Sus scrofa: one gene and its partner. The protein of the gene in region 2 purifies or fractionates together with the protein of the main gene of each other region. This does not show direct contact. Links are inferred from orthologs where the notes say so. Each region holds a gene or a part of one and is shown on either strand. Other genes may lie near its edges. The genes, in order: SNTB2 and DMD.

The links.
Region 1: the proteins of DMD (region 2) and SNTB2 purify together in Homo sapiens (co-immunoprecipitation; 4 studies listed by BioGRID and IntAct, counting the BioPlex papers as one, with this or other methods). This does not show direct contact. The link is inferred for Sus scrofa from reciprocal best matches to the Homo sapiens genes DMD and SNTB2.

The regions. Positions count from the first base shown.
Region 1 is NC_010448.4:17,769,842-17,777,267, forward strand, and holds the start of SNTB2 (beta-2-syntrophin), read right to left. Parts: upstream 4,710-7,426; 5' UTR 4,656-4,709; coding exon 4,076-4,655; intron 1-4,075. UniProt on the Homo sapiens protein: Adapter protein that binds to and probably organizes the subcellular localization of a variety of membrane proteins. May link various receptors to the actin cytoskeleton and the dystrophin glycoprotein complex.
Region 2 is NC_010461.5:27,385,489-27,392,242, forward strand, and holds part of DMD (dystrophin), read right to left. Parts: intron 3,351-6,754; coding exon 3,230-3,350; intron 2,610-3,229; coding exon 2,341-2,609; intron 1-2,340. UniProt on the Homo sapiens protein: Anchors the extracellular matrix to the cytoskeleton via F-actin. Ligand for dystroglycan.

The DNA of each region.
Region 1 (7,426 bases), on a different chromosome or scaffold from region 2:
ATATTCCAATGAGAATTGCTTCAAAAATACTGATCTTTTCTCAAATATCAAACCGTAAGCTGGACACTATACTGTCTTTCCTAACCTTCCCTGGAACGCTTTTCAGTTTTTAGTCTAATTCATGTTTCAGGTATTCCACTTCATAGCTTTAAAAATATAAATTCTAGCTTTCTGGATAGACCCTATTTCTAGCACATAGCTGCAGTAAATTCAACATACAATATGACAGAAGAGTAGTCGTTACCCCTTTGCACTGAGAATCTGTATATCTCTGAATATCTTAATATCAGTGCTAACAGACACTAGTCAAAATTACAAGCACACAGTTGTTAGCAAGTTTTAAGGTTCTAAGCAGTAAGTATGAAGGAAGAGGAAAAATCAGACGGATGAAAAACTAAATGCAAAATTTAAGGATAAAAAAATTGGCCTATACAAGAGATGACAGAAAACCAGGAAAAGAAGATTAGGAAAAGGTGTTTACATGTAAGAAATGCAAACTCATTCTTAATCTACTCACCTGAAACAATTCTTATTCTTATCATGTATTTTTTTTCCAAGGAAAAAGAAGCCTTGGATTTTAACAACTTGTTACCCTGGCTATTCTGAGAGTCTTTGTTAACTTGCAGCACACCTTCAGGCCCCAGCCCTACCTTCCTCATTCAGACTTTGTTTTCATTATGGCTGTTTACTGCTGCATTCCCAGTCCTCAAAAAAGCTCCCAGCACATAAACTGTCAAATGAATAACAACCCTGTGAGGAGTATTATTACCATCCTGGTTTTACAGATGAGGAAACGAAGGCGTAGCAAGGTTGAGTAACTTGCCTAGGGTTACAAACCACTAGCCAGAAACATGCCCAGGTCTGGCTGACCACAAAGTCCTCATTTGTACTCTACTCTCAGTGGGCAGAATAACTTCTTCAGGTCTTTTACTTACTTCTGAACCGAAAGCAGCTTTCTCTTTAGGGAAGAAGCTCAATTTGAACTTCAACTTCTCCATCAAACTTTTCCTGGGCATCCTCAACCTCTGATCCCCACGAATCTTTCCTTCTTATGTGATGTGCCTGCTCCAGAGTTGCACTGCAACAGTGCTTTTAGGAGTTTTGTCATGGAGCAGTGGAAACAATCTGACTGGGAACCATGGGGTTGCCGGTTAGAACCCTGGCCTCGCTCAGTGGGTTAAGGATTTGGCAACGCCTTGGATCTGGCAATGCTGTGGCTCTGGCATAGGCCAGTGGCAACAGCTCTGACTGGACCCCTAGGCCTGGGAACCTCCATATGCCGAGGGTGTGGTCCTCAAAAGACAAAAAAATTTTTAAAAATTAAAAAAAACCCAAAACCCCCAAAACCAACAGCACTTTTAGCCCTTTGCTGTATTATCTATCTTTTGTTTGTTTGTTTGTTTGTTTTGCTTTTCAGGGCCACACCCAAAGCATAAGGAAGTTCCAAGGTGAATCGGAGCTACAACTGCTGGTCTACACCACAGCCGCAGCAACGCAGGATCCAAGCCACATCTTCAACCTACACCACAGCTCATGGCAACACAGGATCTTTAACCCACTGAGCAAGGCCAAGGATTGAACCCGCATCCTCATGGATCCTAGTCGGGTTCGTAACAGCTGAGCCAAGAAGGGAGTTCCAAGCTGTATTATCTCTTTAACTCTCTCTCAACTCCCAACTTCCTGAGGGCAGAAAACAGGCACTATCTTCAAGTGCCTCTGGAAGTGGTAGAGTTGAATAGATGATTTCTGTATGAATGAAAAATCCCTACAAACCCGAGATGAAAAAGAATCCTTTAGCTCACTCAATTCCCTAACCACGGCAACCGGAGGCTAGAGCTTTGCTTTGCTTTGGGGTGGCAAGAGCTTGCCTGAAATCCCCTACCTACACCACAAAAGACCATCACTGCGCTATGTTAAAGCAGTTTTTCAGGCTGTGAGATATATAATGGAAGGACCATATAGTTCCAAAACTTTAAGGGCTAAGCATAAAATCTATCTTTTAATAGTGGCCTACCTGGATGGAACAACTAGCTCTTAATTTTAAATGGTTGACTGGTTCAATTAAATCACTGTTTTCGGTGATTTTGCATTATTCTAAGTAATTTTATTTTTATATCCCTAGGCTTGAAAGTTCAATTTCGTACTTCCCCACACATGTAAGAACAAAAACTACTTGTCTTTTACAAAATGGGAAAATAAAGCAGAACCTGTGTGTTAGGTAAATAGGCATTCAGTAAATAAATGTCAGGCTGCTATTTGTAAACCCTCTCAAAAGCACATGTGGTCTGTTTTAGACTAATGAATACTGGGAAGCATTTACTAGATGATTTTCATTTAATTGGTATGAATACCAGGTTCAAATTATATCTTAAAAAACCCTCGATTTTTAAAAAATATGGGGTAGAGAGTTAAAATGTCTGCCCATCACCACTGAGCACCATATACATAGTACACATTCAATAGTCTGGCTTTAAGAATTTATTACCAAATTCTTAGCTAGTTCAGTTTCAAGGTACACATTCATGGTAACAATGTTTTTTTACACACACACCACCAAAACCACAATCTATAATTTTACTCTCTTTATTAACACTAAATTCTGAGTAGTGTCTAGCCTCACCTGAGAGAAATATAAATAGGATATTACAAAGGTGAGACACTGGAATTCCACAATTGGAGCACATTAAATCATTTACTTGCAAATGAACATTTTCCCAGACATTTACCAGCGGATTTGGAAAAAAGTGAAGATCACTTTGCCCACTGGGTTTCTGGCCTCTCAGTTTGACAATTGGTCCCTTCCTACTCTCCCCACCCCTTCCCTTCTGTTCTTCTGCCAGGAATACCCTCCTGACTCATCTCAGCCTATGTCTATCACTTCCCTGGAGACCTGGCTCAAGATTCAACTCCTTGAAAAATTGCTCCCTGACAAATCCAATTTCCACTAACTACTGCATAACTTTGCATTTCCTGTGGCAATTATATAGTTTGCACTATACAATCTATAACTTGAAGGGTTTTTTGTTTTTGCATTTTTCTATCATTTCCCCAAATAGACACCAAATAGAGGCAGATCACCTTTTATGTTCTCTTCTATACAGCCAGCAATAAATGCTTTTTGAACTACTGAATCACAGTGAAAGAAGGCCAACTGCTCAAAAATTTCTAAAGCAGTATTACCTCCAACATGCACGAGTCCATTAAGGAGATGATATTTAATTTTGCCTTAATTTCATAAATTCATCAAAGACGACCCAGGTCACATACATATTTAAAGTAAATAACAATCCTGGCTATTCAAACATGACTTGAGATTTAACATTTCAGGCTTCTAATAAGCTTAAAGCCTTGAAGCAGGACGCCTGTGAATGGTAGGAAGCTGGCACCAGTCTCCTAAAAAAAGGGCAAAACTCTAGTTGGCAGTAAATGTTCAAACACGTGAGCCTTCACTGTTAAATAAGGCTCATTAACCACACGAACTTGCTGTTTCAGCTTTCTGGCTTCAATGAAGTGCTAGGATCTCCTTTGGTTATTGTTGCGAGCCAATGATGGGTTAAATTCCCATAAATTAACCAGGGTTTCGAGGGTTTGCCCAAGCATACCGCTGGCATCGGACTGGATAATTTTTTTTTTTTTTTTTTTTTAACAGACCCGCCCGCCCTGGGAAGCCAGAGGTGAATGAAGAAACAGCCAACTCGGCACTTCTCAGGAGGCAAACCGAGACCTCCAGAACTCCGTTCCGTCCCTCTCTAGTTCTTAGTGTCAGCTTATAGTGCAGAGGCGGGGCTTCAAGCGCGGCTGCTTTTTACTAAATCTCAACCGAGTCTTCCTTGGGGACTGCAAGCCACACTTCGGCGGCTGCCCAACTTTTCCTGCAGGGAGCATCAGTTTTTCCATCCTCCAAGTCCCAGCAAACAGGGTTTGGGGAGAGCCGGGCCACCAGCAGAAGGGAAGGTGAGGGCTCGGAGGGAGGGAAGGGGCTCGCCCCGCCAAGCGGGCAGGGTGGCAGAAACAAAGTGAGCGCCGGCCAGCCCAGCACCTCCCGCCCGCCTGCCCGCCCGCCGGCCCCGCTCACCCTCCAGCAGCACCTCCTTGCCCGCGCGCTTCAGTGCCTGAACGGCCTGGTCGTGGGTGGCCTGGCGCAGGTCGGTGCCGTTCACCGACAGGATGGCGTCGCCCAGCCGCAGCGCCCGGCTCTGGTCGGCCGCCAGTCCCGGGAAGATCTTGGAGATGAGGATCGGCATCCGGTTCTCGCGGCCGCCCTTGATGCTGATGCCCAGGCCGCCCGCCTCCTGCTTCACCACCCGCACTCGGCGCACCGGCGGTGACGCGCCCGCCTCACTCGCCGGGCCTCGCGGCGGCGCGGGTGGACTTGGGGGGCCCAGGCCGCGGCTCGGGCTCCCGGGCAGCGAATCGCCCGCGCCGCCGCCGTTCGGGAGGCCGTTGAAGGCGGCCGCCGCGGGCCCTAGAGCTGGCTCTGGTTCAGCCGCCGCGGCGTCGCCCGTCAGGCTCAGGCTCTCCCCGCTCAGCTCGGCCACCACCCGGACCCAGCGCTCCCTAAGGAGCAGTTCTACCAGCCCCGCTTTGGTGGCCCGCGTCCACACCGCCATGGCCGGCCCCGCTCCCGCCGCCGCAGTCGGCGCAGCTACCCTCATTCCAGTCAGGCAGCCTAGGCGCTTCCCCCTTCCCGCCCGAGGGGGCGGGCCCGGCCCCTCCCCCCGCGGTGATTCATTATTCATGAGAGGCCACGCCCACCTTCCGGAGCGGTGGGGAGAGGCCGGCCGGGACGCTTCCGGGAGGTCTAAGGAGTTGCCTGCGGTCCGGTGGGTTGCAGTTCACAGCTCAAGCGAAGTGGGGCTCGGTCTCACGTTCTCCCTCCGTTAGCCTCCGACCCTTACACCCTCCAGCTTCTGACCTGTACCGTTTAATGCACCAGAGCTGCCTGGGCATGGAAAGCAAAATCAGCTTCACAAGACACTTTGCAAGCCTGCAAGTTGAAAGCCTCCGAGTTGCAAGTTCACTTTTGCATTGATTGGTTCTTACTAAGTAAGTATTTACTGAATGCTCCGCTGTGGGCTCCTTTTGAGGCCTGGAGGTGAGATGAACAAAACTACCACAGCCGAGAGCTGGCGGTTTAGTAGGGGAGGAAAAAAGAGAACCAACCAACCTGATGTGATATTATGTGGTTAAGTGACATGTAGAAAAAGCCCTGAGACCGGAGTAGAAGTAGTTGAGCCTGGGGTCAGTTTCACAGAGGTGACAATGGAAGCTCAATAACTGGAACAGAGGGAACTGCATAAGCAAAAGTCTAGAGGCATGAATCCAAGCATTTGTCATTCTGCTTTGTAATACCGGTAATGCCAGAGGGGTTCATGTTTTCTTTAGCCCTGCAGCCACATTAGGTAGGCCTCAAAGATATTTGCAGAATGATGGTTACTTAGGAAGATGCCAGAATTCAAATGTGAATAGTGCAGGGTCCATGGAAATATAAGGATATGAGTGTAAAAAGACTCAAATAACCAAATATTGGAATTGAATTTGTAGATCTGACTTTCTACCCTGGAGGCCAGGGCCTTACATTGGGGCAAGTGCATATGAGCGTCCCCAGAAACTGATTACACAGTGCAAAGCCTGCAGCAGCTTTTGTCCAAAGCTGTAGGTGATAAAATTCACCTGCTTCTTCCAGTTTCCTGGCTTGAAGAGTTGAGGAAACTGAGGCCCAGAAAGCCAAAGCTTTGGCCCAGTGTCCACAAGTAACAAAACATCTCTGGTCTCCCAGTTTCCTGTTCCAGTGCTTTAAAACAAACACATACACACCCTAGACCATACTCTAGACCTCAAAAGTGAGGATCCAGAAATCATGCTGCTGAGAGAGATCTCAACATGAGGTCACTGTGCCCTTTTTCCTTTTTTTTTTTCAGGAAAAGCAAAATGCCCATATTTTCATTTGGGCAGGCAGGGGTGGGAGCAGTGGTGCCAACAGAGGGAGTGTGCAGCAATTCCTGTGAAAGGGGCTGTATACCTGCTTGCTCATGAAGTACATGTTGAAGCTCGTAAGCCATGTCCATGAACCAATCTAATGCACACTCATGTGTGGGCAGAAACTTTCAAAGAGCCTCCTATACCAGGAATTAAAACAATTAAAAAAAATTTTTTTTTAAAAAAGAAAGATTGGTAAGCACTCAGAGCCCAAATGAAGAAAGAATTCAAAATGAGAAAAGTATCTTACTCCAAAAATCATTACAGCAGAATCCTCTTTGCAATTAGCGGAGTGGGATTTTCCAAGCTGCAGACATCAGCAGAAGCTCAACCCTCTGGCCCTCTCCTCAATCAATTGCAGTGAGGCCCGCTCTCTGCTCTGGCAGGTCCCAATGTGCCCAAGTGCACCTGCAGTCACAGACATTTCTGGCTTTGCTCCAGCTGAGGCGGGAGCCCCCAGAGGCCTGAGTTAAGCGAAACTTCTACTTATTAGAGAGCACTTGGCAGCTGTCTCCTTAGAGAATGAGCACATTTCGAGCACGTTTACATATGTAATCACCCAGAGGTTGGGCACTTGAGGACATCTTTATTAGCAAAAGGGAAATGCTGGAATTTCTTTCCAAAAGTGTCAAGACCTTTTGGTCAAAAGAGTTGGAGGAAATCATAGATCTTCCACCTAAATAGGGAGGGCACTTACATAAGACAGTAGGTTATATAATGAAATATTTAACCCCGGTAAGATGGGAGGTAATAGAGATTGATATTTGGATTATTGGGGGATATTTACTTAAATTATTTCAAAGTACATCCATAAAAAATGTCTAAACTATTCAGCCATTTTTACAAGGTCCTCCATCAGAACTTAATTTTCACATTCTCCTTCATCACTCCTTTCGGATTGGCCACACTCATCCAGTCAATCTCTTCCAAGGATGCCTTGCACATTCCTGCTGGGGTCCATCCTTCCAAACACTTTCTGCCCCTTTCACTTTCCCACCTAGCAAGAGCTCATCCCCGTTTTCTCTGCCTACTCACTTTGTTGGGATTTTCCCTTTGAACAATTTTATTCTATGCCTTGCTTGTCTGTCCAAGTATATTATGATATACAGGACAGGGACCGCCCATTGACTTCTTTTTGTTCCCCACTATTCCAAAGTTGTTGCCTTGCCGAGAAGGAACTCATTAAACATGTGATTGATTGAAATTCAATGCCTCCTGTGCTGTAGTCGTTTCAAATAATCCCTCTGAAGGTTATTGGTTCCTTGCAGAGTGAAAATTGCCATCTAGGAAATCTCAAGTAGTCAGTGGAAATCTACTTACTGTGGATAATGAAATCTGAAATAAAAGGAGTACACATCTGTTTCCACAGTTTCTTAGGGGTGGCGAGACAAGCTCAGATAATTCTTTGAACAGGCATGTTATTTTATCTACCTCTAAAAAAAGGGAA
Region 2 (6,754 bases):
TTTTTAATGCAGAACGAATGCAAGGTAAGACATTTCAAAACATTATTTCAATTTTTATATGTACAGAAATGTTAACCATTGCTTAAAATGTTAGGCACGGGGTTGTATAATGTTCAGGTGGCAGAGATTTTAGAAATTATGTACTTAATCTTCTTTTAAATCTTCACCTACTGTTTTAATGAAGAGCTTTTCAATTCAACATTAGACTGTGGGCTTCATGAGGACAAAGATCAAGTCTGTTTCACCTATAACTACATGTTTAGCACATTTTATAGTAACTCATAAACAATTGTTGCATGGAGGAATAAAGAAGCTGAATTAAATTCCTTATATTTTGCCAGCACCGTACTAGGAACTGTGAATTCAAAGATGTACACCATGATCCTTGCTCTTAGAAATTTCACTTTCTATGGGAGAAAAAGAAATACCTAAGTGACTTGCCACAACATAGGTAAAATTGAAGTGTAACAATGCAAGTATGAGTGGGGATCTTGAAAGCACTGAATTCAGAGCAGGTTCTGCTTGGTGGGAGTTGGGGGTAGAAAACTGGGTAAACTCTAAGGACAGGGGCCTTTTGAGTTGGGTCTTGAGGGCTGAGTGGCAGTTTACCAGTAGGTAAGGTGGCCTGATCCAGGCACAGAGAACAGCATTTGCAAAGGCAGAGTGTTATGAAAAAAGAATTGCATAGTTTGCTAAAGGAGGGTATGGACAGAAGTCTGCAATGGCCTAGAGGACAGAAGCAACAATCAGAAATTTAAGCCAAGGCTATGAAGAAACAGGATCGCCTGCCTCCACTGTCATGCAGGCAGTCTCCTACACAGAGCTTGGATTCAAGTTGGAACAGAGTGGGTAATACAGAAAGAGCAAAGAAACTGTTTATTCATTCATTCACCAAATACCTAAAATGCAGTGTTTGTAATATGCCATCTACATTGACTGGGAAATGAGATTTAAGGATATGTAATACAACAAACTGACTTACAGTGTTGGGGACCGGAATGGGACATTGGTTGAAAAGAGGAGAGAAACTGTGAAGGAGATATTCTGAAGTAAAATGAGCAATCAAGTGCAGTCAATGAAAATGTACAAGGATTGAAGGATGGACCTCAAGTTTCTAGCCTGAGCAACTTGTTGGATTATGATCCATTAACTGAAATAGAAAACAGAGGAGAAGGCAGGTAAAAAGGTATATTAGTAGGGGGATGGGCTAACAGGAGAACAAATGAACTTGCTTTCAGAATGGCTGTGTTTCAATTCTAATGGCATACAGGTTAGCAGATCAGCAAAGAAATCCAAATTATAAATTTAGATCTGTCACCAACCATGCCATTTCAAACTAGGAACATTTATACATTAAGAAGAAAAGTGAGCTAAGATTTTTATACAATAAAAAGATAACCGAACTAAGGTTAGAAACCTGGGCACACTGACATCTGAAGGGTGGGTAAAGTTTCAGAATTGAGGAAAATAAAGGAAGAAGAAGAATGTAGATGAAACAGTGCTATGAAAGCCAAGGAAGAAAAGACCTTCCAGAATGAGGGGGCTGGCAAACATGCTAAGCACAGGTGAGAATATCACTTCTGAGTTTGAATCTAGAAGGACTTCCATTGGTTTTGACACTAGATAAATAGATAAAATACGTTCCAAGTTGCTGGTTTTTAACATGATACTCCTAAATATGAATATTCTTTCTTTATAAATATATTTATCAAATTTCTGCTAGAAGGGAATTTAACTTTGGTTTCATGGACAGTATTCCAAATAGAGAATGATATTTCCTAAGATCTGCGGTGGACAAATACAACTCAAAATTGCATATATACATTGCCTTCTAAGGGAAGGGCAGCATTAATGGTCTCAATTCACAGTACTTAATTCACCCAGGTCATATAATTTAGTTAGCCAATAGGCCAAAACCTAGACTCCTGGCTCTTGATTAAATGTTATCTTTTTCCCTACTCTGATACTACGATCCACAAAGGGTAAACACACACACACTCACACACACACACACACACACACACACACACACACACACACAACCAGACCACTTTAGTACACTTAGTTAATTTCCTATTAGTAAAGTCAAAATAATTTTTGCTCTATAACTTCTTAATATTTCTTTTTATATTACTGAAGACAGAGAGATGATGAGATCACTATCTTCTCTGAGAAAAAAATACATATGCCAGAAGACTCTGAATTTGCAAAAGATGGCCTTACTTTGAAAGATTAAGGGCCCTATTTTAAACTTTTTGAGATGAAAACACCGCAAATGAGTTCAGATTAGAACCTCTTTTGAGTCCCTCAAAGGCCCTGAAGCCATCCAGTAAACGGTACCTTGACTTTTTCGAGGTGATCTTGGAGGGAGTCAATGAGGAGATCTCCCACAGGCTGCCACGATCCCTTGATCACCTCAGCTTGGCGGAGTTTGAGGTCCAACTCATCCGTTGCCTCCTGAAGTTCCTGGAGTCTTTCGAGGGCCTCATCTATTTTTCTCTGCCAGTCAGCAGAGTGCAGGTTCAGTTTCTCCCACTCAGTGTTGACCTCCTCAGCCTGCTTTCGTAGGAGCCTTGTGACATTCTGGGCTCTCTCCTCAGGAGGCAGCTCTAAATTGGTAACACAACAAGGTTTTAGGCAACATTCATTTTTGTGTTTAAAAAAACCCCACTGCTGAAAAGGTCATACTGGGAGAAAGAAAGTATAGTTTAACAAGAGGCCAACTTACTGATTAATGGCTCTTTGATACTCTGGCATTTGTTTTGATACAGTTTAGCACATTTGAGTCTATCTTCCTGAGTGAATCTGTTCCACCTTCTATCAATCAGATAATCCAAGATTCATTTAAGATATTAAGTAGAAAAAATGTTAGGATGCACACCACAAGCTCTAGTTTACTTGAGGAAGGCTCTTAAATTGAAATTAGCTTGTAGTTTTTGTAACAATAAATTCCTCCTCACAGATAATCTCTTTTGTTGATTCTTTTCTAAATGTTTCAATAACTGATCGCTAATCTCTTTTAATGTTTATTTATGAATGTGCAAACAGATTTATGTATGGTGCTTTATGATTCCTTTCTCTTTTTCAACATCTATGTCTAATCTGAATCAATTCTATTTAACCTAGAAAATACAAGTGCTATTCAGACCCTGGCAGCAAGAATGGATGGGTCGCTCTGTCACCACTGATCCTTCTATCAATATGTTACCACAGTTCCACATTTAATTACCTCTGGGCTCCTGGTAGAGTTTCTCTAGTCCTTCCAAAGGCTGCTCTGTAAGAAATATTCGTACAGTCTCAAGAGTACTCATGATTACAGGTTCTTTCGTTTTCAATTCCCTCTTGAAGGCCTGGGAAATAAGATGAAAAGAAATGCTTATTTGGCTTGTGGCATTCTTTTGAAAATTAATCCTTGGTGCTCATAACTTGGTTATGAAATTCCCAGGTCAGTTTCTATCTCCTTTATTTCTAAACTGATTGTCATAAAATGATAAAGAAGGCTCAATGGATCTTTCTGGTAATCAGGAAACCAATGGGTTTGTAAAACTATTCTGGAGAGGACAGGGGTGCTTTCAAAATACATTAATGCCCTTTAATTAAGAAAAGAGTGCTTTATTTATATAACTGGACTGCCAAACTTGAACTCTGGGGCTAAAATTTTAAGATATATATTGCAAAACCCTTGCAATACAGCAATTCTAGGAGGGCTAATGAAACTTACACATATTCCATATAATGGAAATCCAGACCATAATGGGCCATTTGGGAAAACTTAGGTTGTATTGAAGGGTACAACCAATCCAATTCATAATCACCAGTCAATTCTGTCAAAATGTCTAACAATAAATATAATGATGTGTTAATAGGAAACTAAGTAGAAACTCAACACTTTCCCAAAATACCTATAACATTATTCATTGTGACTTCTTTGAAAATGGGAGAGAGGTTTTGAGGTATACTGGAGGTGAGAATTGTGGGAACAAGTTTCTATAAAAGAGTGGGCCTAGAATAGGTGTCTTGAGGTCATCTAGGTTAATCATCAATTTTCATCTCTAATCTATAATCTTCTTTGATATAGGGGATTAAAAGAAAAGCAAAATGCAGTTTCAGCCTCCAAGACATTTCTTAACCAAAAGAAGGGTGAAAACTAACATACTAGAAACAATGAAAACAATACAATTCTATATAATCAAGTGGGTTAAGAGATATCATGTGACTCTAGGATAAATGAACAGATACACTGAAACCATGGAAGATAGTTACAGATCCAGGTTCTGCAATCTCAGAAGAGATGATTTTAATGAAACTATTAAGTATCGCATAAATGCTAAAAGATCCATGTAAAAACAATAGTAATAATAATTGCCCTGATCTAGGGCTTAATTATTCATATCATTAAAAATTTCTATCCTACTTTTCATAATGTTGCCTACTGAGTTTAAACACTGTTCTGTTACTGGGAGACTAACTTGCAGTATCACCTTAAAACATAGGAGTGTTCCAGGAGTGTATGGTATGACACATTAATAAATACAGCTATAATGGTGTTCACCATTCAAAGGAATCCTGACTCTGATACTTTGCACAATGATCCATCTTCCGGAGTTATTTACAATTCGTAGAGTAAAGCAAGGTGATTAAGCCAAAATAACAAAATTCTGTAAGTGGAATATTAGGATTCAGCCTGTGGATAGGAATGTAATTTCCATATAGTGCGATATTGTTGCATCCTTGAAATCATACAGAGTTGGTGGGTTATTTATTCTGCTTACATGTAAGGCTGATTCGCCCTGCCCTGTTTCATTTGTAATCTCTTTCTGTATGTATGTGTTTGCATGTGTGTGCATACATGCATGTATATGTGTGTATACACTTCTTGTACTCCTGTATTTTTGTCAGACATCTAATTTTTCTAACTTTAAGGAAATTATTTTCTGCGGAAAGGTTCATTTGTACCATATTTTTAGTCACTTATGATGGAACATGATAATGGGAGAAAAAAGAATGTATACATGTATGTGTAACTGGGTCACCATGCTGTACAGTAGAAAAAAAATTGTATTGGGGAAATAAAAATAAAAAAGAAAATTATTGTCTTGCTTAGTCTCTCCATCTGGACTTGAAAAGAGGAAGCTGATCCCAACGTTAGTAATTATAAAAATAATAATAGCTCCCTTCATTGAACTATTATGTGTCAGTAGTTATACCAGAGACAAGAAATCCAAACTTGAATGCAAAACAGCCCTTCTTAGGTAGGAACTCATGGTATAGAGTGGAAGAGTTGAATACATAAATAACTTCAACACAATGTGGAAAGAACTATAGGTGGGCACAATATGGGAAAGGAAATTGGGAAAGACTTCCTGGAGAAGATAGTATTCACAAAGAATTCTAAAGCATGAAAAGGAGTTAGCTAGGGAAGAGCAGGTCAGAAGAAGAAGAAAGAAGATGCAAATGCAGGTGCGAAGACATAGGTGGCGTATGTAGTTTTCTCAAGTAGGCTAATGTTTCTAGAAGATAAAGTACAAATGGAAGACATGTCCAGAGATGAAGCAGGGCACAGTTATTATTTCAAACTACTTTGGACCTTTAAGTCAGGATTTGAAGCTCAATCTATGACCACATATGCCCTGCTAAGAAGTCTAGGTGTTGTCTTGCAGGTAATCAGGAGCCTTTGAAAGGATTTAAGCAGAGGACTGGTATGGGTGTTCGTGTGTTTTTCAAATAGATTTCTCTGACATTAGTACAGAACATGTATTTGAGAAGGACAGTAATGGAATCAGAGAAGACATTTAGGAGGCAATTCCAAGAATTTAGTGAAAGATAAGGAGGATCTGATCTAGGGCAATGGCATCATGGTATTAGGAAAAAAAAAAAAAGAGGAATTCCTTGGTGGTGCATTGGGTTAAGGATCTCGTGTTGTTACTGCTGTAGCTCAGATTTGATCCCTGGCCCAGGAGCTTCCACATGCCATGGGCATAGCCAAAAAAAGAAAAAAAGAAAGAAAAAGGAAAAAAAAGGGAATTCTCTTGTGGCTCAGTAGGTTAAAGATCCAGTGTTATCACTACAGCAGCTTGGTTGCTGCTGTGCCATGAGTTTGATCCCTGACCTAGGAACTTCCATGTGCTGCAGCCATGGACAAAAGAAAAGAGACAGAGGAAGAGTAGGTAAATGTTTATAGAGCAGAGATATAAGATTCTGGTGACTGAAGAGATGCTGGAGAAGAGAAAGGAAGGAACAAGGATGACTCCTAGTATCTAGGCTGGGTAGAGAAGTGAATGTAGGATGCAGTTAAACTAAATGTGAGGAGATATCCTCTCCTGGATTCTTCAATACACCTATAAAAAGTTCTAGCTTCCTGAACACCTTCCCATACCATGGGATTCAGATATGCAGTCATTTGTTTAGTTAATTTCTCTAATCCAAGAGGGCCAAATGGTTATAGCCCAGAGTAGTTTCCCAGTTTATGTCTCTAAGCTGTCACAATGACAGAAGTGCCTATCTCTGCAAGGTATTTATATTTCAGAAATTTAAAGCCCAGACCTTGGAGACATTTCTAGGCTGTAAAACCTGAGACTCACAGGGCTAGCTGGCTCCTAGAGAAGTTGGAGTGAGGACTCAGATCCATTAAATTTTCCAGGATATCCTTCCAGAGGGAGAAGAGGACAATGGCCCCCTTCTTTATAAGCAGAGAAAAGTCATTTTTTCCTGGTCTCTTGCCTATGGAGTACCCAGCCACTCATGTAGAAAGAGT